Anolis sagrei: one gene and its partners. The protein of the gene in region 2 interacts with the protein of the main gene of each other region in a pairwise test. Links are inferred from orthologs where the notes say so. Each region holds a gene or a part of one and is shown on either strand. Other genes may lie near its edges.

Region 1 (7,650 bases), on a different chromosome or scaffold from region 2:
AATAATAATGGCAGCCCAGGAATCTGGAGGTCCACGTGATGGCCACCCATTTTCTCGTGTCTTCAGCAACCTCTTTCTATGGATAAGCCCTTTGTGTGATACGTGTTATTCTTACATTGACGTATAGAAAAACGGTTGCCCCGCTCAATGGGGGGAAAGCAACAAAAAGGGAGCCAATAAAGGAAAGGGTCCAGTCTGCATTTCCTGCGTGAATGGCAGGGTCAGCGCCCTCGTTTCCAAAGCAAGGATGACAAGGGAGCCAAAAAGACAAAGCCACCCATGAGGCCGCTGGGCATTGTGTTTCCTGAATGAGCCAGAAAGAAAGGAAGGAAGGGATGAAAAGAGAGGAAGAAAAAAGGGGCTTCTCTCCAGCCCTCCATCTATCTATCTATCCATCCATCCATCCGCTGAGTTGGCACACTTTCCCCAGGCATGAATGGGGGCCCCCCTGCATGCGTGTGCGCTTTCCAATTCTGTCCCTTGCACGCACGCACAACACGGAAAGACTTTGGAGCCATCAGCAAATACTCCTACTAATAAAAAGGTAAAGGTCAAGGTTTTCCCCTTGACATGAAGTCCAGCCATGTCCGACTCTCGGAGTTGGTGCTCATCTCCATTTCTAAGCCAAAGAGCCGGCATTGTCCATAGACACCTCCAAGGTCATGCGGCTGGCATGACTGCATGGAGCACTGTTACCTTCCTGCTGAAGAGGTACTCACATTTGCATGTTTTTAAACTGCTAGGTTAGCAGAAGCTGGGGCTCATAGCGGAGCTCACCCCAATCCCCGGATTTGAACCGCCATCCTTTTATTCAACAAGATCAGCAGCTCAGCGATTTAACCCGCTGCACCACTGGGGCTCCTATTAATACTACTACTAATAATAATGGCACTATCTTTCATGAGAAAGAGAGAGGTGGAAAAGGGCACAAAGGTGTGTAAGAAGGAAGGAAGGAGAGAGAGAGAAGGAAAGAAGGAATGAAAAGAAGGAAGGAAGGAAGGAAAGAAAGAAAGGAGGGAAGAAAGAAGAGAAGGAAGGAAAGAAGGAAGGAGAGAAGGAAGGAAAGAAGGAGGGAAGGAAGGAGAGAAGGAAGAAAGGAGAGAGAGAAGGAAGGAAAGAAAGAAGGAGAGAAGGAAGAAAGGAGGGAGAGAAGGAAGGAAAGAAAGAAGGAAAGACAAAAGGAGGGAAGGAAGGAATAAGGATGGAGAGAAGGAAGGAAGGAGAGAAAGAAGAAAAGAGGGAGACTAGGAAGGAAGGAAGGAAGGAAGGAAGGAAGGAAGGAGAGAAGAAAGGAAAGAAGGAGGGAAGGAAGGAGAGAAGGAAGAAAGAAGGGAGAGAAGGAAGGATGGAAAGAAAGAAAGACAGAAGGAAGGAAGGAAGGAAGGAAGGAAGGAAAAATTAAGGATGGAGAGAAGGAAGGAAGGAGAGAAAGAAGAAAGAAGGGAGAGAAGGAAGGAAGGAAAAAAGGAGGGAGGGAAGGAAGGAAGGAAGGAAGAAGGAAGGAAGGAGTGAAGGAAAGAAAAAAGAAGGAAGGAAGAAGGAAGGAAGGAAGGAAGAAAAGAAGAAAGGAGAGGAAGGAAGAAAGGAGGGAGAGAAGGAAGGAAGGAAGGAAGGAAGGAAGGAAGGAAGGAAGGAAGGAAGGAAGGAAGGAGAGGCTCCTTTCCCTAAAGCCGGAAATACACATGATATGATATGGTATAATAAGATACGATAAAGGAGCCCCCAGTGGCACAGTGAGTTAAACCGCTGAGCTGTTGAACTTGCTGAGTGAAAGGTTGGTGGTTCGAATCCAGAGAGTGGAGTGAGGTCCTGCTGTTAGCCCAGCTTCTGCCAACCTAGCAGTTCGAAAACATACAAATGTGAGTAGATCAATAGTACTGCTTCAGCGGGAAGGTAAGGGTGCTCCATGTAGTTATGTCAGCCACTTGGCCTTGGAGGTGTCTACGGATAACTCTGGCTCTTCGGCTTGGAAATGGAGATGAGTACCAGCCTCCAAAGTTGGACACAACTGGACTTAATGTCAGGGGAAAACCTTTACCTTGTACTAAGATATGATATACCTATGAATTGGACCTCCGTCACAGATGCTGAAAGGCCTGGACCATCTAAAAGGGAAGAATAGCAGGCCTCCTCCTCCTCCATGGGCGCTCAAAAGCCTTAATAATATAAAAGGAAATAAGAGGTGTTTGTTAATGCCCTTAGACCACAGTTCATTTGCATACAAAACAAGTCAACACAACACAACACAATTGGCATCTAGATCTGGCCTAGTAACCTTCAATGGCATGAAAGGTGGGAGAGATGCCAATGTTTTGCACTGATTCGCTGCCAAAAAGGGCTGCTGCCAAGTCCGACCTCTTCCATGGACGCTAAAAGGAAATCATAGGAGAGTTCTTAAATGTTCTTAAAGGCCATAGAAGTCAATGCAAGGCAGCAGGCTCTCCCTTCATTCAAAGTATCTATAGGGTTAAGTAGATGGAGTAATAATAATAATAATAATAGTCTCTTAATTAACTGCCCCCCATGGGAATTGGTAGATATGCAATAATAATAATAATAATAATAATAATAATAATAATCTTTCAATCAACTGGCCCCCATGGGAATTGGTAGATATGACACAATAATAATAATAATAATAATAATAATAATAATAATAATAGTCTTTCAATTAACTGGCCCCCATGGAAACTGGTAGATATGCCATGATAATAATAATAATAATAATAATACTGTTTGGATCGTCGATGTTGCAATTCCAGGCGATAGCAGGATTGAAGAGAAAAAAAATGAGGATTTAAAGATCGATCTGCAAAGACTCTGGCCGAAGCCAGTCAAGGTGGTCCCAGTGGTGATTGGCACACTGGGTGCAGTGCCTCAAGACCTTGGCCTGCACTTAAACACAATCCGCGCTGACAAAATTATCATCTGCCAGCTGCAGAAGGCCTTTGAGGGGAATTTACCTTGATTTGAGGGAGTTGTAGTTCACCTATATCCAGGGAGCACTGTGAACCCAATGATGGATCTGGACCAAACTTGGCATGCATACCTGATATGCCCAAATTTGAATATTGGTGAGTTTTGAGGGGAATTCGTCTGTGTACTTTGGAGTTATAGATCCTGGGATTTATAGTTCACCTGCAATCAAGGAGTACTCTGAACTCCACCAATGACGGAATTTGACCATACTTGGCAAACAAAGCCCCCATGACCAGCAAAAAAAAACACTGGAGGCTTTGGAGGGATATTCACCTTGATTTGAGGGAGTTGTAGTTCACCTACATCCAGAGAGCACTAATGGATCTGGGCCAAACTTGGCACACAGACCTGATAGGCCGAAATTTAATGGCTGGAGGGGTTTGGGGGGAACTGACCTTCCTTTCTGCGGATTGGTAGATGCTATAAGAAGAAGAAGAATATATAATAATAATAATAGATTGTGAAGTGGGGCTTCTGATAGAAGTATCACAGCCCTAGACTCCAGTGGCTATTCTCCCGCCAAAAGTCTTGCAAGTGAAAGGCATTCTGGGAGTTGTAGTCCTTGAAGAAAGCGCCCTCCCTTCAGCCGGCCGTCTTCCCTCGCAAGGGCCACGCCTTCCCGCCTTCATCTCCCGGCGTCCTTAGCGCCTCGCTTTCTGCCTCATGCTTGAAGCCCCGCCCCCTTTCCTACCCTGCTTGTCTCCGCCCCCTTTCTCCTCTGTCTCGAAGCTCCACCCCTTTCCCAGTCTCCGCCCCTTTCCTCTCAGTCTCCTCCTCTTCCGGCCTGAAGTCCCGCCTTTTCCCTAATTCTCCTCCTGGGAAGCGAGATGGAAGTGTAAGTTGGAGGGAGGGAAGGAGGGGAAATGGCAGGAAAGCCAGGCCCAGGAGGCGAACCCGAGGGAATCTGAATTATTAATATGTATGTTTTGTTGCTTATAGAATTATTCATATTAAGCTATAGAGAGGAAATAGGATATATTAAGCCATAGAGAGGAGATGATGCTTCTACTATATATACATTTATATGTTCTATTTATATATGTATAACAGATTAAAATACAGAAATGTATATATTAATATATAATACATTATATATACTATACACATGTTAATATATATAGAGAGGTATATTACTTATATGCTTATATAGAATTCATATATATATATATATCACATTATATTAATATAATACTAAAATAATGTATGCAATATTATTTATATATGTATAACATTAAAATAAAGTAATGTATATATATATATAATACATAATATATACTACACACATATAAATGTATATAGAGAGGTATATTACTTAAATGCTTATATAGAATTCATGTATATACATATCACATTATATTAATATAATACTAAATATATGCAATATATGCTTTAATATATATTATATTAATCTGTATTAGAGAGGGATATTGCTTATATATGCATACATATCACATAATATATGCAATTATGTGATATCTATATATATAAGACATACATTATTTTAATATTAATATATAAAAATAATGTATCATATATATATATATACTTTAATGTATAGAGGGGATATTGATTAGATGCATATATATACACACACACACACACACACATACACATCACTTAATATATATTTATAATATATTAATATACATATATTAAAATAATGTATGTATAATATATATTGTTTAATGTACAGAGAGGGCTATTAATTAGATGCTTATATACATATATATTAATATAACAAAATAAAGTAATGTATGTATAATATATGTACTAACATTTATACATACATGTCACATATATATTAAAATTATATATATATATATATATATACACACATACATACATATACTGTATAGAGAGGGAGGGATAATGCTTATATGTCATATTATATATATACTATATTAATATATTAAAATGTATGTATTATATATATATATATACACTTTAATATATAGAGAGGGATATTGATGAGATGTTTACATACATATATGTACATATATATACACATACATATCACTTAATATATTAATATATAAGATAAAGCAATGTATGTATAATATATATATATATATATAAATTTTATATTATTAATTGTAATATCAATAATATGTAGGTTTTGTTGGTTCTTTTGCCGACCAAAAAGCCAACCACACACACACAGACATATATATCTATCTCCCCATAGGATTCCTCTTCATTCGAGCTTCCCAAGACTCCCAAAGAATTAAATATACAGTATAACATATATGGAGCAAAGCCACTGCTACGGCTGACGTGTCTTTGGGGTCAGCACAAAAAACGAAAACTCCCTTCTCAGCATATTTCCGGAAGGGGAGCCCCTCTTTTTTTTTGAATCCCCCCGATTTGTTTTTTTTAAAAAACAAAACACCAAAACAATGCGCCCAACCTGTGGAAGTTTGTGGAAGAGGCGGCGTGGAACTTGCCCCGAAAGTGATGAGCGCAGCGGGTTCGATTCAGAACTAAATCAAATACATTGTGCTTTTAGGTACGTGCGGGGCCCCCCGAGAAGCGCTTTTTGTGGCCGCCGCACTGTTGTTGTTTCTGCGCTCTTTGCTGGCTCAGCAGAAAAAAGGCCTTTGTCTCTGGGATGTATGGATGGATGGAGGGGGCCCTTCCGCACGGCCCTTCGGTGTTTTTGTTAATAGATAGATAGATAGATAGATAGATAGATAGATATGAACAAGATTCAGTTATGAACAAGATTCAGTCGGTTTGTTATTAAGGTGATCCATCATCTGTTAACTATCTATCTGTATCAATCCTCTCTCAACTATTTACCTTCTGTTAACTATCTATCTATCACCTGTCCGTCAATCATCTGCCAACTATATGTATCATCTGGTTTATTAATCATCTGCCAATTATTTATCTGTCTATCTTTCTATTATCTATCATCTGTCCATCAATCATCTACCAATTATCTATCTATGTATCTATCATCTGCCAACTATTTATCTATCATCTATCTATCATATGTCTATCAATCACCTGTCAACTATCTATCTATTAGTGTTTGTCTTCTCTCAACTCATTTTTCTATCTGTATTAATCATCTGTCAATCATCGAGCTATACAGATAAATCATCTCATATATCATCTATATCAATAATCTCTCAACTATCTTATCATCTGTCAACTATCATCTATTTATCAATGATTTGCCAACTATTATCTGTCTGTTTATCAATCATCTGTCAACAGTTTATCAACTATCAATTATCTGTCATCTATCTATCTATCTATCTGTTATCTATCAATCATCTATCGATTATCTGTCATCTATCTTTCATCTGCCTATCAATCTCCTGTCAACTATATTTCTGTTATGTTTCTATAACCTATCAATTATCTGTCAACTATCTATCTATCCATCTATTTATTATCTATCAATCATCTGTCAACAATCTGTCCTCTATCTTTCATCTGTCTATCAATCTCCTGTCAACGATCTTTCTGTTATGTTTCTATCATCTATCGATCATCTGTCAACTATCTTATCTTTCTATCTATAATTCTATTATCTTTAATCATCTGTCAACTATCTGTCATCTATCTTTCATCTGTCAGCTATCTTTGTTATGTTTCTATCTATTATCTATCAATCATCTGTCAACTATCTGTCAACTATCAATTATTTGCCAACTATCTATCATCTATCAATCATTTGTCTATCAATCACTTGTCAACTGTCTATCATCTATCTATCTTTTCATTTGTCTGGATTTTCCCAGCGTTCCTCTGGACACACATTATCTGACTTCAGCAAAATCTGGCTCGAAATGAGGAAGCTGCCCTTTAAGAAAATATCTCCTTTGGGCTTTGAAAACAGTCTGTCTTCTTGAGCCAGGATCGCCTGCATAAAGGCCTAATCCTGCCTGTTTGTTTTGTTGTGCAGGAAAGACGGAAATGCAGCCCTTCTGAGCAACTATGAGGTAAAACCATTTGTGGCATAATTAATTGGACTTCTGATGCCTTGTGTTTCATCTCTGCTCTGTGTATTTTCATATGCATTTTATCAAAGTACATTTCTATATGTGCATTTATAAGTTTTTACTATGTTTATGTGTTTTGATTATGCCGTAACCTGCCTTGAGCCAGGTTGCCCAAAGGCCCTCTCATAGAATGGCCATTTTGGAGCGTTTCGGATTCCCGGATAAGGGAGCTTCACAGTTGAAATGGGACCAAAGCGCTCTAAAAGTGCCATGCAGAACGGTCCCAGCAGAGGGTGGGAAACTCAACGGCGCCTCTCTTTTCCTGGCTTGGTTTACATAGCAATCGCGGATGGGAATGTTGTTGGAAAGTGCTTTGCGGCCCCCGTGAAAGAGCAAATCGGGTTTCCTTTCAGGTCTACCAGCTGCTGATGGACCTGAAGCAGCAGCGGCGAGAGATGGGGAAGAGCAAAGCGAGCGCCGGGCAGCAGAACCTGAACACCATCATGTACGAAGTGAGTCCTTTCGGGGGGTTCCTGGTATCCGTGGACATAGAAAACCCTCTGGTTTTGTTGCCTCTCTCTCTCACGCTATGTTTTCTTCCCTTGGAAAAATCCCCATTCTGACATGTGCGTATTCTTCCCGTTGATGACAGCATGCTTGTGCCGATGTGTTCGTTGTGAGCATCGTTGGGCACTTTTCTGTTGTCTCAGAAACTCCC
Region 2 (7,027 bases):
ACCAGAGGCACTCCAAGTGGCCAGCTTTTGGTCAAAGGAAAATTAGTATAACGCCAAGTTTTTAACTTTGTGGCTTTTTTATACATTAAAAGTGTATTCTTAATTTGCTTCCGACATGATGAAAAAACCGAAACAAACTACAGTACACTATTACTGCATTTGTGGTCACACAATGAATATTTAGAGGAGTAGTTCTCAACTTGTGGATCCCCAGATGTTTTGGCCTTCAACTCCCAGAAATCCCAACAGCTGGTAAACAGGCTGGGATTTCTGGGAGTTGTAGGCTAAAACACCTGGGGACCTACAGGTTGAGAACCACTGATTTATATCAATCTTACTCAACATGCTCCCCCAATACACTCATGACAACTCCATTATGGATGAAGATGATGGTATTTATAATTTAACACAACTATATGAAGGATATAATGTTGAGAAAAACTGATAATCCATCAACTGCATAGCACAGATATTTATATTTCTTGGCATCATTAATAACCTATGGTTATTAATAAAGTGATGGGATGTGGGTGTCCTATTTATCCTGTCTAAATGAGACCACTTGAAGAAATACTTCTAGTTCAGCAAACTGACTAGTCCACTAATGTTGTCTACCAAATGACTACTTTGTTCTGAAAATTTTAGGCACTTTGATTTCAAACAGATTTCAGTGCTGCTACATTTAAGAAACATGTTGAAGGATTTTTTCAAAGAACTGTGTTAATAAGTATAGAATTTGTTGAGCAAAAGATTTAGGAACCCAGAGATCAAAGGATTATATTTCTGGATAGTGAAAGGTCTACTAAACTGCAGGGTAGCATAAAATATATTAATATGTGTTGCAGCAACTAACTATGATGCGTACTTGTTGAATCCCTTTTCTTAAGAATTTAAATTGATCCACTTTGTGAGATACAAATACCCCACTTAGATTAGTACCGGATATTCCAAGGAAAGAAAACAAATAAAACATGACACTGCCTGATTAGTACCTAGCTTTGACACGCACCAGCCTCAGGGCCAATCACCTTATTTTGACCTCTTCAAGCATGCCTGTTTAGTGATTACACTCTCAAAAGAGGGGCAGACAGTACTTAAGTCTGCCTGGAAGCCTCAGCACATGACTTAAAAGCCATCTCCTTTGTTTTAGATCTCGTTTGCTGTGACATGCTGTGGTTTTGTGTCAGATAATAATAATAATAATTTTATTCCCACGTTTTGTCATGGCTTGAGGTCAGTTTCCAAACAATTAAAATATATAAGCATAGCAAAAACACTACAAATGCACACACTAAAATGCACCTACACAAAAGTTACACATGAAATCGAATCTCTACAAAATACATACTAAAACATACAAAACAGAGATCAAGCAAAGGATACTTAAAAGTCATGTTTAAAGACTGAGTAGGCCTGCCAGAAGAGATAAGTCTTCACTCATGTCTTAAACGACTGGCAGGTCGTCCCACAGACTTGGGGTGGCTGATGAAAAGGTCCTCTGGGTAGTGGCTGCCAGTTGGGTTCTGGCTGGTTGGAGCAGACACCCCCCAGAAGACCAGAGTGTGTGGGGCGGATTGAATGGGAGAAGGCAATCCTTTGGGTAAACTGGACCCAAACCATGTAGGGCTTGAAAAGTCAAAACCAAAACCTTGCACTTTGCTTGGAAACTAATTGGCAGCCAGTGGAGTGACTTTAGGATGGGTGTGATATGCTCACTCCTAGATGTTCCTGTAACCAATCTGGCTGCTGTATTTTGAATCAGCTGGAATTTCCGAACTTGGTACAAGGATAGCTCAATGTAAAGCACGTTGAGGTTACTATGCTACTCTGCTGCTGAGTATGCATGCCCAGTGTGGAACACATCTCACTATGCTAAAACAGTAGATGTGGCTCTTAATGAGACATGCCGCATTATCATGGGGTGTCTACGCCCTACACCACTGGAGAAATTACACTGTTTAGCAGGTATTGCACCACCTGACATCTGCTGGGAAGTAGCAACCAATAGTGAAAGGACCAAGGCAGTGACATCTCCAGCTCATCCCCTGTTTAGATATCAGCCAGCACATCAACGACTTAAATCAAGAAATAGTTTTCTAAGATCTACAGAGACACTCACTGGAACACTTCAGCAAGCGAGAGTCCAAAAGTGGCAGGCTCAAACCCAGAACCTCAACCAATGGCTGATACCAAATAAAAGCACACAGAAAACTGGGCGACTTGGAAGGTGTTGAACAGACTGCGCTCTGGCACCACGAGTTGCAGAGCCAACCTTAAGAAATGGGGCCGCAAAGTGGAATCCACGACATGCGAGTGTGGAGAAGAGCAAACCACTGACCACCTGCTGCTATGCAACCTGAGCCCTGCTACATACACAATGGAGGACCTTCTTATAGTAACACCGGAGTGGCCAGGTACAGGTCAAAGGCCATTTAATCAACTACCAAGGTTGCAAACTTTGTGTTCTGTTTGTTTGTTAAAAAATGCAATGCAACTGTTTGGTCTGTTCCTGACACGATAAATAAATATATCTGGCAGTGTGGACACGTATAATCCAGTTTAAAGCAGAACACCCCCCAGATTATCAAGACAGATAACCCACAATGAGGCCCCCTCCACACATTGAACTGGATTACCTGAGTCCACACTGCCATCTAATCCAGTTCAATGTGTGGAAGGGGCCTCAGTCTTGTCTTTCAGCTTTTTGTTGCTGTTTCCCTCCCCGTGGGCCTGAAGTCACAGCCTCTTCTCTCTTCCTCCCTCTGCTCCCTTCCCTTCCTTCTTCCTCACCGAAGACGCCCTGCACGATGCTGAGGGGGCAGTTCAGCCAGTCCGCCACACACGGCATTTCCCCGCTTCTGGGAAGTCTTCAGGCCGGGGACAAGAAGCGGAAACGGAGGCACGAATGGCTCCAAACACGGAGGAAGCAAACAAGCCGAGTGTCTGCTCCCTTCCTCCTCCTCCTTCTCAGGGCTGAGGCGATGGCAGCGTAAGCCACGCCTCTTCCTCTCTGCTCAGCGCGGGCTCAGGTTGGCGCGAGAGGAAAGCGGAAGTCGGTCGCGGCGCCATCTTGGATTCGGGCGGAAGAGGCCGGCCGGAAGCGCTGAGGGACAGAAAGAGACAGAAAGCGAAGGCTGAGACGTGGACTGTGGAGAGAGTGAGACATGGCTGCCCCGAAAGCCTCCGTGGCCGCGGGAGGCCTCTCCTCCGGCGCGAATAGCGGCACCAACTTGCTCTTCTCTTCGTCAGCGACTGAGTTCAACTTCACCGTCCCCTTCATCCCGGTCAGCCAGGCCCCAGCGCCGCCCCCGCCGCCTCCTCCTGGCCTCCTGCCCTCAGGTGAGCCCAGACCCAAGAAGGAGAAGGCGGCCTTGGAGCGGAAAGCATCGCGCCTCCGGGGATGCTTGTTATGTTAGACCTCTTCCACACAGCGGAATAAATCCCCAAATTATCTGCTTTGAACTGGGATATGTGGCAGTGTGGACTCAGATAACCCAGTTCAAAGAAGATCTTGTGGGATTTTCTGCCTTGATATTCTGGGTTATATGGCTGTATGGAAGGACCCTGTGAATGTCAATCTATATCAGTGGTTCTCAACCTGGAGGGGTCACGAGGGAGTGTCAGAGGGGTCACTAAAGACCACCAGAAAACACAGTATTTTCTGTTGGTAATGGGGGTTCTATGTGGGAAATTTGGCCCAATTCTGTCGTTGGTGGGGTTCAGAATGCTCTTTCATTGTAGGTGAGCTACAAATCCCAGCAACTACAACTCCCAAAATGTCAAGGACTATTTCCCCCAAACTACAACAGTGTTCACATTTGGGCATATTGAGTATTTGTGCCAAGTTTGATCCAGATCCATCATCGTTTGAGTCCACGGTGCTCTGGATGTAGGCGAACTACATCCCCAAAACTCAAAGTCAATGCCCACCAAACCCTTCCAGTATTTTCTGTTGGCCATGGGAGTTCAGTGTACCAAGTTTGGTTCAGTTCTATCGTGCAGAATGCTCGTTGATTGCAGGTGAATTACAAATCCCAGCAACCACAACTCCCAAATGACAAAATCAAGCCCCCCCCCCCAAACCCACCAGTATTCAAATATGGGCGTATCAAGTATTTGTGCCAAATTTGGTCCAGTGAATGAAAATACATCCTGCATATCAGATATTTACATTAGGCTTGGTAACAGTAGTAAAATGACAGTTATGAAGTAAGAAGGAAAATAATTTTATGGTTGGGAGTCATCACAACATGAGGAATTGTATTAAGGGGTCACAGCATGAGGAAGGTTGAGAACCCCTGATCTATGTAAATACAAATGTGATGTTAGTTTGTGGGATTAACAGAACTCAAAAACCACTGGACGAATTGACACCAAATTTGGACACAAGACACTTAACAACCCAATGTATGTCCTTCACTCAAAAAAAATTGATCTTGTCATTTGGGAGTTGTAGTTGCTGGGATTTATAGATCACCTACAATCAAAGAGCATTCTGAACCCCACCAACCATGGAATTGAACCAAAATTGGCACCCAGTTCTCTCATGAGCAACAGAAAATACTGGAAGGGTTTGGTGGGCAGTGTCCTTTGGTTTTGGAGTTGTAGTTCACCTACATCCAGAGAGCACTGTGGACTCAAACAAGGCTTTGCTCCTTCCTGGAGGATTGTACCCAGATGGTGATGCTGAGGAACACCTGTTTCGATCCCTGGAGATTGACCTGTGGGGTCCTGCAAGGTTCCATTCTTTCCCCCATGCTTTTCAATATCTACATGAAACCGCTGGGTGAGGTCATCCAGAGTTTTGGAATTGGGTGTCATCTCTATGCAGATGATACACAACTCTTCTACTCTTTTCCACCCCAGTCCAAGGAAGCTTCCCAGATCCTGGACCAGTGTCTGGTAGCTGTGATGGATTGGATGAGGGCCAACAAGCTGAGACCTCATCCTAACAAGACAGAGGTTCTTCTGGTCAGTTGCGAGACCAATTGGGGCATAGGGTGACAACCTGTGCTCAACGGGGTTACACTTCCCTTAAGACACAGGTCTGCTGTCTGGGGGGTCCTCCTGGACTCATCATTGACACTTGAAGCTAGGTGTTGGCAGTGGCCGGGAGGGCCTTCACACAATTAAAACTTGAGTGCCAGCTGCAACTGTACCTCGAAAAGCATGACTTGGCCATGGTAGTCCATGCCCGAGTTACATCTAGAGTGGACTATTATGATGCACTCTACGTGAGGTTCAGAAATTTCAATTAGTGCAAGATCAGCTGCCAGATTACTAACTGGAGCTAGCTATAGGGAACATACTGTGCCCCTATTAAAGCTGCTTCATTGGCTTCTGATAATTTTCTGGGCTCAATTCAGTTCTAGCTTAAAAACGTGGATTTTTGAACAGGTAGTTTCGCTTTGCATAGGCTGAAATGGTCCTATATTAGAATGACACTTTGGCACTTTAGTTGTGTATTCATGGTAGCTAGTTTTAACCATTGATGGGAATTGTTTTTAAATTGTGGATTTTATTTTATGTGTTGATAGTGGTTTATAACTTTTATGTGAAATTGTTTTATACTCATGTACTGTTGATGTTTATACTGCACTTGCAGTGCCTTTTTAGCCTCCCTGAGTCCCTTTTTGGGAGATGGGAGGTGGGATATAAATAACAATTATATTATTATTAGTATTATTAGTTTCAGAATAATATGCTGTCATATTATCCAGTTCAGTGTGTTGCTCAAGATTTTTACTAATGATACTTTATGAATGTTCATTATATGAGTGTATGAATGTTCATTATAGTAAATGATTTTTACAGAGGAAAGTTGATATTGTTGAGCTAGTGGAGCTAGAAATTGTGTTCCTGCTCTGTGACAGCTTTAAAAAAGTGAGTAGCAGTACAGTTAGTTTAGAAGTGTGTTTTCAGATGTCAACACTTCTTGCTTCCAGCAGCGAATGTCTTTATAGGATTCTTTGTATGTACGTGTTGCATATTTGAATAATTGTAATAATTGGGCTTTGTGGGAGTGGCCACTTTTAATTTGTGTAGGATTGCTATGTTCTTCCCCCTCTTGTTACATTAATTATTGATCTATAGTTTTTCCTGATACCTGCGTTCCTTAAGTACAGGGACTCAACATGTGGGGATATATTTGAGCTGTCCATGCTTGCTGAAGTGAAATATTTCTACTAATTAAATTAAAGAAAATGTAACTTCAACACCAGATTTGAGGGCGGATTTGTTTGTTACTGAGTTTATAAAACCCAACATTCAGTGTTTTGGTAGAAGCAAAACATTTTTCTAGAATTCCTCATATTTACTCGAGTCTAATTGCTAATAAATCTAATATGCACCTCAGTTTTCAAATCCTTGAAACCAAAAAAAAAATTAAATTGCTGGCAAATGTAATGTGTAGTGGCAAAAGGCATTCTTTGTCATTTGGCCAAAAGTGCACATTAGGGTGCATACTTATCATTCCCTCTTTAAAAATAAAAGTGTTGGAACACCAAAGCTTTCAGCAATGGAAAAGATATCCTTTGTAGTTTATTCATTCAGTCGCTTCTGATTCTTTGTGACCTCACGGACCAGCCAAGGCCAGAGCTCCCTGTTAGCTGTGGCCACCCCCAGTTCCTTCAAAGTCAAGCCAGTCACTTAAATGATACCATCCATCCATCTTGCTTTTGGTTGGCCCCTCTTCTTTTTTCCTAAGATGTCCTAAGATATCTTTGGGATGGATCTGTGCTGTAGAATAAATCCACTTTGACTGCCTTGGCTCAGTGCTATGGGGTCATTAGGGCTGTAGTTTGGAATCATGGGGGCTGCCAAAGAATGCTGATGCCTCACCAAACTACAAATTCCAGGATTGCATAGCATTAAGCCATGACAGTTAAATTAGAGATGACATCCATCTCCTAAATTGAATTCCCCTTTTGCTTTAGCTTAACACTAAGATTAGCATATCTAATGTGCACCCCAATTTTGGGAAAATAATGTAGCCAAAAAAGGTGAGCATTAGATTTGAATAAAAACA
Region 3 (7,646 bases), on a different chromosome or scaffold from region 2:
TTTGGCCTAACAGGTGGTAAATTGGCTGGGATTTCTGGTGGCCCTTCCACATAGCCCTATATCCCAGAATATCAAGGCAGAAAATCCCACAATATCTGCTTTGAACTGGGTTATCTGAGTCCACACTCAGATAATTTGGGATTTCCTGCCTTGATATTCTGGATAAAGGGCTGTGTGGAAGAGTCCTGGGAGTTTTAGGCCAAAACACCTGGGGGCCCACAGGTTGAGAACCTCTGCCTTACATGAAACTGTAATTTAAGGTGAAACCCATAACTGATGGAATTATTATAACATTTATTCTTTAATATGAATGTATATGTGTTAGCCGCCTTGAATCCCCATGGAGAGAAATGTGGGATATAAATAAAGATGATAACAACAACAACAACAACAACAACAACAACAACTGATTCTGGCAGTCCAAGAACATGCCATTAGAACAAATGCCATCAAAGCCAGAATTGAAAAGTCGACAACAGATCCCAAATGTAGACTCTGCAAGGAAGCAGGTGAAACAATAGATCACATCATCAGCTGCTGCAAGAAGATCGCGCAGACAGACTACAAGCAGAGGCATAACACTGTTGCTCAGATTATTCATTGGAACTTGTGCCACAAATACCATCTGCCGGCCACAAAGAACTGGTGGGATCACAAGCCAGAAAAAGTTACAGAAAATGAACACGTCAAACTCCTCTGGGACTTCCGAATTCAGACAGAGTTTTGGAGCACAATACTCCTGACCTCACAATCGTGTTAAAAAACAAAGTATGGATTGTCGATGTTGCAATCCCAGTGACAGCAGGATTGAAGAGAAACAACTGGAAAAGCTGGCACAGTATGAGGATTTAAAGTTAGAACTGCAAAGACTCTGGCACAAGCCAGTCAAGGTGGTCCCAGTGGTGATCAGCACACTGGGTGCAGTGCCTAATCACCTTGGCCTGCACTTAAACACAATCAGCACTGACACAATTACCATCTGCCAGCTGCAGAAGGCCACCTTACTGGGATCTGCACACATTATTAGCCGATACATCACACAGTCCTAGACACTTGGGAAGTGTCCGACGTGTGATCCAATGCAACAGCCAGCAGAGTGATCTTGTCTGCCATTGACTTGTCTTGTTGTGTTTCAAATAACAACAACAACAACAACAACAATTTCAAATAGTCACCATAGCTACCATTAGCTGTTAAAGCAGGCAGGGGGTAACTTGGTCCCTCCAGGTGTTTTGGATCTCATCTCCCACCATTCCTAAGAGCCTTGGGCCCTTTAAGAGGCTGAGTGGGAAACGTATGGGGCCTGAGGATGTTAGGAATTGTAGGAGTCCAAAACACTTGGAGGGCCCAAGTTTGCCCATGTCTAACCTACACAGAACACCCTTCTCTCTTCCCTTGCAGATATTTTGCACAAGCTTCCAATGCATCTGTGCCAGCTGTTAGGAATGGTGGGAGCTGAAGTCCAAAACATTGGAGGGCTTGTTTGCCCAGGCCTGACCTACACAGTACACCCTTCTCTGTTCTCTTGCAGAGAGTTTGCACAATGCTTCTGTGCCGGCCAGGCCTGTAGCCAGGATTTTGTTTTGGGGGGAGCTGAGTTTGATTGGGGGGGGGGGGGGCTGAGTGAAAGAGGGTCTACCCTAGCAAACCTTTTGTATCGTTACCCCAATACCCCCATGCATATGGGATATATTGAGCATGGTGATCAGATCATGATATGAATAAACATAACAGTTTAAATAATGTACCAGTAAGGCCTCCTCGTGGACCAACATGAGAATTTGGGGGGGGGGGGGGCTGAAGCCCCTCAAGCCCCCCCCTCCCCCGGCTACGTGCTTGGTGCCAGCTATTAGGAATTGTGGGAGTTGAAGTCCAAAACACATGGAGGGCCCAAGTTTGACCATGCCTGTGTTAAAGGGCACATGTATTTTGGGGGACAGACTGTATAGATGTAATCAAAGTATTTATATTGTTTAGTCAACAGTGTGAGTTGGGGGGGGGGGGAGGACAATGACAAAATAACAGCCTCATGTGGGTGCATCTATACTGTAGCCAACTGTTAGGAACTGTGGGAGCTGAAGTCCAAAACACATGTAGGCCCAAAGGTTGGGAACCACTGTTGTAGAAATGGCCTCACAACCTCTGGGGATGCCTGCCATAGATGTGGGAGAAACGTCAGGAGAGAATGCTTCTGGAACATGGACATACAGCCTGGAAAGCTCACAGCAACCCAACAACTCATAGTTTTGTAACAGCTAAAGCAGTGGTTCTCAATCTGTGGTCCCCAGGTGTTTTGGCTTACAACTCCCAGAAATCCCAGCTGTTAGGATTTCTGGGAGTTGAAGGCCCAAACATCTGGAGACCCACAGGTTGAGAACCACTGAGCTAAAGTGTTGTTGAACTGCATTCATTTAGCAGCATGACGCACAGAGTGGGAGTGGGGTGAGGAGTAAAAGGGAAATAACAATAGCCTCCTATGGGTGCATCTACACTGTTGAATTAATGCAGTTTGACACCACTTTAGCTGCCATGGCTCAATGCTATGGAATCCTGGGAGCAGCAACTTCCAGAATCTCTCCCTCGCTAGTGTGGACGAGGATTATATAACCCACGTTGCAAGTTACTTTCTGAAGCTTTGGGTGAGCTCTGAAGACACACAACGTGGCGGGCAGAGGATGCCTCGGCTGCACCAGCAGGAAAGAGAGAGAGAGTTCTGCCTGGCCCAAGGGCAGCACTCACTGACTGTGTGTTTGGAAGCAAAGGGAGGGAGGAGGTTTTGAATTTACCACGACCCCTCGGCCACGGCTGCGTCGCGGCGCCTCTGCTGGGTTGGGGGCCTCGCCGATGCTTTGCCCGGCCATCTTCGGCGAAGGGAGCCTCGAGGAGAAAGGAAGAAGGGGAGAAAGGAAGGAAAGAAAGAAGAGGGAGAAGTGAAAAGATTAGGAGGGAAAGCGAGGGAAAGCGCTCAGCCTGGCCTTCTGCGCCTCTTTGCTGCGAGGAGGCGGGCTTAGGCGCCAGCCTCCAGACCCAGAGTGGAAAAGGAGGAGGAGGAAGGAAGGAAGGAAGGAAGGAGAAAGCGAAGGAGAAGCAAAGGAGGCGGCGCCTGCCTCGAGTTGGAGGGAAGGAGAAGGAGGGAAGGGAGGGAGGCAGGGGAAGGGGAAGGGAAGGAAGGAAGGTGGGAAGGGGAAGGATGGGAAAGGAAGGAAGGGGAGAGGGGGATGGAAGGGAAAGGGAAGGAAAGAGGTGAGAGAAGGAAGGAAAGGAAGGAAGAAGAAGGGAAAGGAAGGAAGGGGAGAGGGGGGTGGAAAGTAGGTAGGAAGAAAGGAAGGAAGGGGAGGACAAAGGGAGGGGAAGGAAGGAAGGTGGGAAGGGGAAGGATGGGAAAGGAAAGAAGGGGAGAGTTGGATGGAAAGTGTTAAGGAAGGAAGGGGAAGAGGAAGGAAAGGGAGCGGAAGGAAGGAAGGGAGAAAAGAAAGGAAGATGGGAAGGAAGGAGATGAGGGAAGGGAAAGGATGAGGAGGGGAAGGAAGGAAGGATGAGAAGGGAAGGAAGGATGAGAAGGGAAGGAAGGAATGAAGAAGGGAAAAGGAAGAAGGGAGGGAAGGGAAAGGAAGGAAGGGGAAGAGGAAGGAAGGAAGGGAGAAGAGAAAGGGAGATGGGAAAGAAGGAGATGAGTGAAGGGAGGGAGGGAAGGGAAAGTATGAGAAGGGGAAGGAAGGAAGGATGAGAAGGGAAGGAAGGAATGAAGGAGGGAAGGGAAGAGGAAGGAGGGAGGGAAGGGAAGGGAAAGGAAGGAAGCGGAGAGGGGGAAGCAAGGAGGGGAAGGAAGGGAAAGGAAGGAAGGTGGGTAGGAAGTTAAGGAAGGAGGTGAGGGAAGGAAGGGGAAGGAGGGAAGGGGGGCACATGGGAAGAAAGAAGAGGAAGGAAGGAAAGAAAAGGAAGGCAAGGAAAGGTGCCTCCATGCCAGACATGGACCAACTTCAGCTTTCCCTCTAGGTGTTTTGGACTCCAATTTGTTCATTTTGGCATCTGCTCCTTCCTTAGTTGAGAGATGTCTTAGTTGCATCCCATTTAGATTTAGATCCTGCACCTCTTTCTCAACTCAGAAAGGGGTCTTTTAACCACAGCTACTTCCTCTGTTGAGAGAGACACAGGCAGCCTGGTTATATGGAGCCATATCACTTTCTTGGCTTAGGAGACTCCCTCTTTGGACCTGTTAGCAAAGTGTGTAGTGGATTACTGTAAGTTTTCCAGGCAGTATGGCCATGTTCCAGATGTACTTTCTCCTGACGTTTCGCCCACATCTATCGCAGCCATCCTCAGAGGTTGAAAGGTCTGTTGGAAACTTGGACAAGTGGGGTTTATATATCTGTCTTGTTACAGGCAGAAATACAGAGAAGTCTGGTGCAGAACTTCAAGAACCGAGAATAACAGCTCAGTAAAGGCTGTTCTGAACACTGATTTGCCATCGTGTCAGAAGCAAATTGAGGATACAGTTGTAATGTATTTAAAAGTGCAAACAAAGTAAAAAGCTTGGCACTTGGGAGTGCCTCTGGTGTTTCTGCAAGAAGGTCCTCCATTGTGTATGTGGCAGGACTCAGGCTGCATTGTAATAGGTGGTCTGTGGTTTGCTCTTGTCCACACTCGCATGTTGTGGACTCCACTTGGTGGCCCCATTTCTTAAGGTTGGTTCTGCATCTCAAGGTGTCAGAGCGCAGTCCTTGAAGTGACTGGCTTGACCTTGAAGGAGCTGAGGATGGTGACGGCCGACAGGGAGCTCTGGCGTGGGCTGTTTCATGAGGTCACGAAGAGTCAGAAGCGACTGAACAAATGAACAACAACAATGACTTCTAGAAAGAAGGCAGGTAGAAAAACACCTTGAGTTACATAGATCTAGGAAACAGTTTGAAAACAAGGCAAGAAAGCATTAGGGAGTCCTGTAACAAAGTTGGGTAACTTTCTTTTGTCTATCCATCCCTTTATATGAGGTGTATACCCGCAACAATAAAAGTGGGTTTGTTACCTTTTTGAACCATACCAGAACATCCAGCATATTTTATTTCCTGTTTCCTACTACAAGCTCGAATATAACACTGGTTAAGCTGCACTCCGCAATAGATACCATATGTACCTTTAATGAGTTCTAGGTGAACTGATAATAAGGTAGGCTAAGAATCTCAGGTGGTTTTATGTGGTTATTATGCGAGTCAATATATGCCAAGCAGCAACAAGAGTCATATCGCCCCATAAAATTAACTTGGCATTTGTTCTTGGTAGTCCCTTGGTTCTAATAAAAGGAAGAATTCTAATGAAAATCAGTTGTGTTTATTCACCTTTGTTCCCTTTGCTATACCAAAAGGGTGTATGAGTTGGCAATTCTGATCGCTGGCTGTTCTTTTACATACAAATATAGATGGAGCGACATTCTTAAGATTCCCTAAAATGTATTTTGTCAAACTTCCTGGAGAGTGAAAGCACGGAATGTTTTCCTTGTGTCTGTAGCTCAAATGGTTTTCATTATACCATTTCCCCCCTCCTATATAATCAGCAGTACCGATGACCAGGGTTGTCAGGTGTCTTCCTGAAAAATAAGGGACATGGGGGAGGGGGGGCTTGTGGGCCAGGGACTTCAATGGACAGGACTTCTGCCCCTCCCCCCCCCAACTCCTCCTTAGCAATTGACATCTCTGTCCCCTCCTTGCCTTCAGGTCAAATACCAAGGAGGAGGCCGAGGTCCCAGAACATCCCAGGCAATCATCCCCTGGAATGTGGGATATTTTCCCGCAATAAGGGACTGCCCTTTAAGATCTAGTAAGCCTGGCAAGCCTGGTGATGACCTTCATGAAAAAGTACACTTCTGTTTTAAGTGGAAAGAGATAGGACTGCTTTATGTTTGATTTGAGAGACACTTCCATGAACATCAAACAGGAAGAAGTGCCTTGTTCTCTTTCGGTGTTCAAGAAGACTGGGGGCTCTTCCACACAGCCCTATATCCCAGAATATCAAGGCAGAAATTCCGAGTGTGGACTCAGATAACCCAGTTCAAAGCAGATATTGTGTGATTTCCTGCCTTGATATTCCGGGATATAGGATTGTGTGGAAGGGCCCTGGAAAGTCTAGGTGAACAGTACATACAATCAAAATGCCAAATGTACCTGGAACAGAATCAGCTTCCTGAAAAACACTCCCATACCTTTCAGCAATGAGTGCATACAACAGCCTGGTCTCACATGATACACTCTAGATTTATTGGACTGTAATTCCCATAGATCATGAAACTGAATTGCCAATAAAAGTGGTGCCAGTCTGCATTAATTCTACACCTTTAGAGGCATTTTTGACACATGCATCCAGCTTTTCTTTCCCTGAAGAAAAAACTGGGGAAAGTATATATATGCCTTACCAATATCCCAACAGAGGGGGAGGCAGGCATTTGACTAGGTACACAAGGGGATTTCATCTTCCCTTCATAATGTTCAAATTGATTGAAGAGCCTGGTTGGATGAAACCATTCAATGATGTCCTCTGAACACACAAGAGAAATGTCCTCCAGAGGTCATTTTGGTACAATTTAGAGTATTTTGACCCCTGATGGTCACAAAGAGTCCTAGTAGTGTCTGTGGACCCTTCCACACAGACCAATATCCCAGAACATCAAGGCAGAAAATCCCACAATATCTGCTTTGAACTGGGTCATCTGAGGGCCCTTCCACACAGCCCTATATCCCAGAATATCAAGGCAGAAAATCCTATCTGAGTGTGGACTCAGATAACCCAATTCAAAGCAGATATTCTGGGATTTCCTGCCTTAATATTTTGGGATACAGGGCTGTGTGGAAGGACCCTGAGTCCACTCAGATAATGTGGGATTTTCTGCCTTGATATTCTGGGATATAGGGCTGTGTGGAAGGACCCAAAGACCCAATGAGTTGCACTTGTCCACCATCACTTTAAATGTCACTAAACAATAATGAAAAGAAGGAATCTTAGGGCAGAAAATCCCATATCATCTGCTTTCAACTGGGTTATCTGAGTCAACACTCAGAAAATGTGGGATTTCCTGCCCTGATATTCTAGGATATAGGGCTGTGTAGAAGGGCCTTTAGCCACACACTGCTGTTTCAAGTCACTGCCATTATAAGAACTCAAATCCTTTTCTTTCTGATCTATTAGCTTGTGTTATCCAGGAGGTCTACGAAAGTGGTATGCAGAGGTCATTTCACACTGTAATATAATCCAGAATATCAAGGCAAATAATCCACACTATCTGCTTTGAATGGGATTATCTGAGTAAACTGCCATATAATCAAAGCAGATAATCTGCATTTTATAAAGCTCTGTAGAAGGGGCCAGTGTTGCTATGCCATGTGCAGATTTCAGCATCATAACAGGAACGTTATCATGATTAGATTTTTATTGCCAAGAATGAGGAAGGATCTTTATGAATTGTTTTGACTTTTGAACCCAAATCATTCTGTTGGCACTGAGTTCTATTGACTATCTCAGTGGGTGGAGGATGTCATTTGTTATGTGCTGAGATTTTATTTTATTTTCTTGTCAGGAGCAACTTGAGAAACTGTCTAGATGGTGAAATATCTTGGGCTGGCCCTGGGTATACAACATATAGCACAAGTTTATGCATATTT

What was found.
Region 1: the proteins of MCMBP (region 2) and ASL interact in binary tests that used the Homo sapiens proteins (3 or more experiments, as listed by UniProt). The two-hybrid records come from large-scale screens. The link is inferred for Anolis sagrei from reciprocal best matches to the Homo sapiens genes MCMBP and ASL.
Region 3: the proteins of MCMBP (region 2) and PRTFDC1 interact in binary tests that used the Homo sapiens proteins (3 or more experiments, as listed by UniProt). The two-hybrid records come from large-scale screens. The link is inferred for Anolis sagrei from reciprocal best matches to the Homo sapiens genes MCMBP and PRTFDC1.

The regions. Positions count from the first base shown.
Region 1 is NC_090031.1:27,643,238-27,650,887, reverse strand, and holds the start of ASL (argininosuccinate lyase), read right to left. Parts: upstream 3,114-7,650; 5' UTR 2,964-3,113; intron 2,157-2,963; 5' UTR 2,061-2,156; intron 1-2,060. Other genes in the region: CRCP (DNA-directed RNA polymerase III subunit RPC9), read left to right, coding at 3,807-3,814, 6,896-6,932, 7,346-7,444.
Region 2 is NC_090023.1:201,874,405-201,881,431, reverse strand, and holds the start of MCMBP (mini-chromosome maintenance complex-binding protein), read right to left. Parts: upstream 3,007-7,027; 5' UTR 2,849-3,006; coding exon 2,791-2,848; intron 1-2,790. Other genes in the region: SEC23IP (SEC23-interacting protein), read left to right, coding at 3,165-3,339. UniProt on the Homo sapiens protein: Associated component of the MCM complex that acts as a regulator of DNA replication.
Region 3 is NC_090026.1:109,359,242-109,366,887, forward strand, and holds the start of PRTFDC1 (phosphoribosyltransferase domain-containing protein 1), read right to left. Parts: upstream 3,114-7,646; 5' UTR 2,862-3,113; coding exon 2,787-2,861; intron 1-2,786. UniProt on the Homo sapiens protein: Has low, barely detectable phosphoribosyltransferase activity (in vitro). Binds GMP, IMP and alpha-D-5-phosphoribosyl 1-pyrophosphate (PRPP). Is not expected to contribute to purine metabolism or GMP salvage.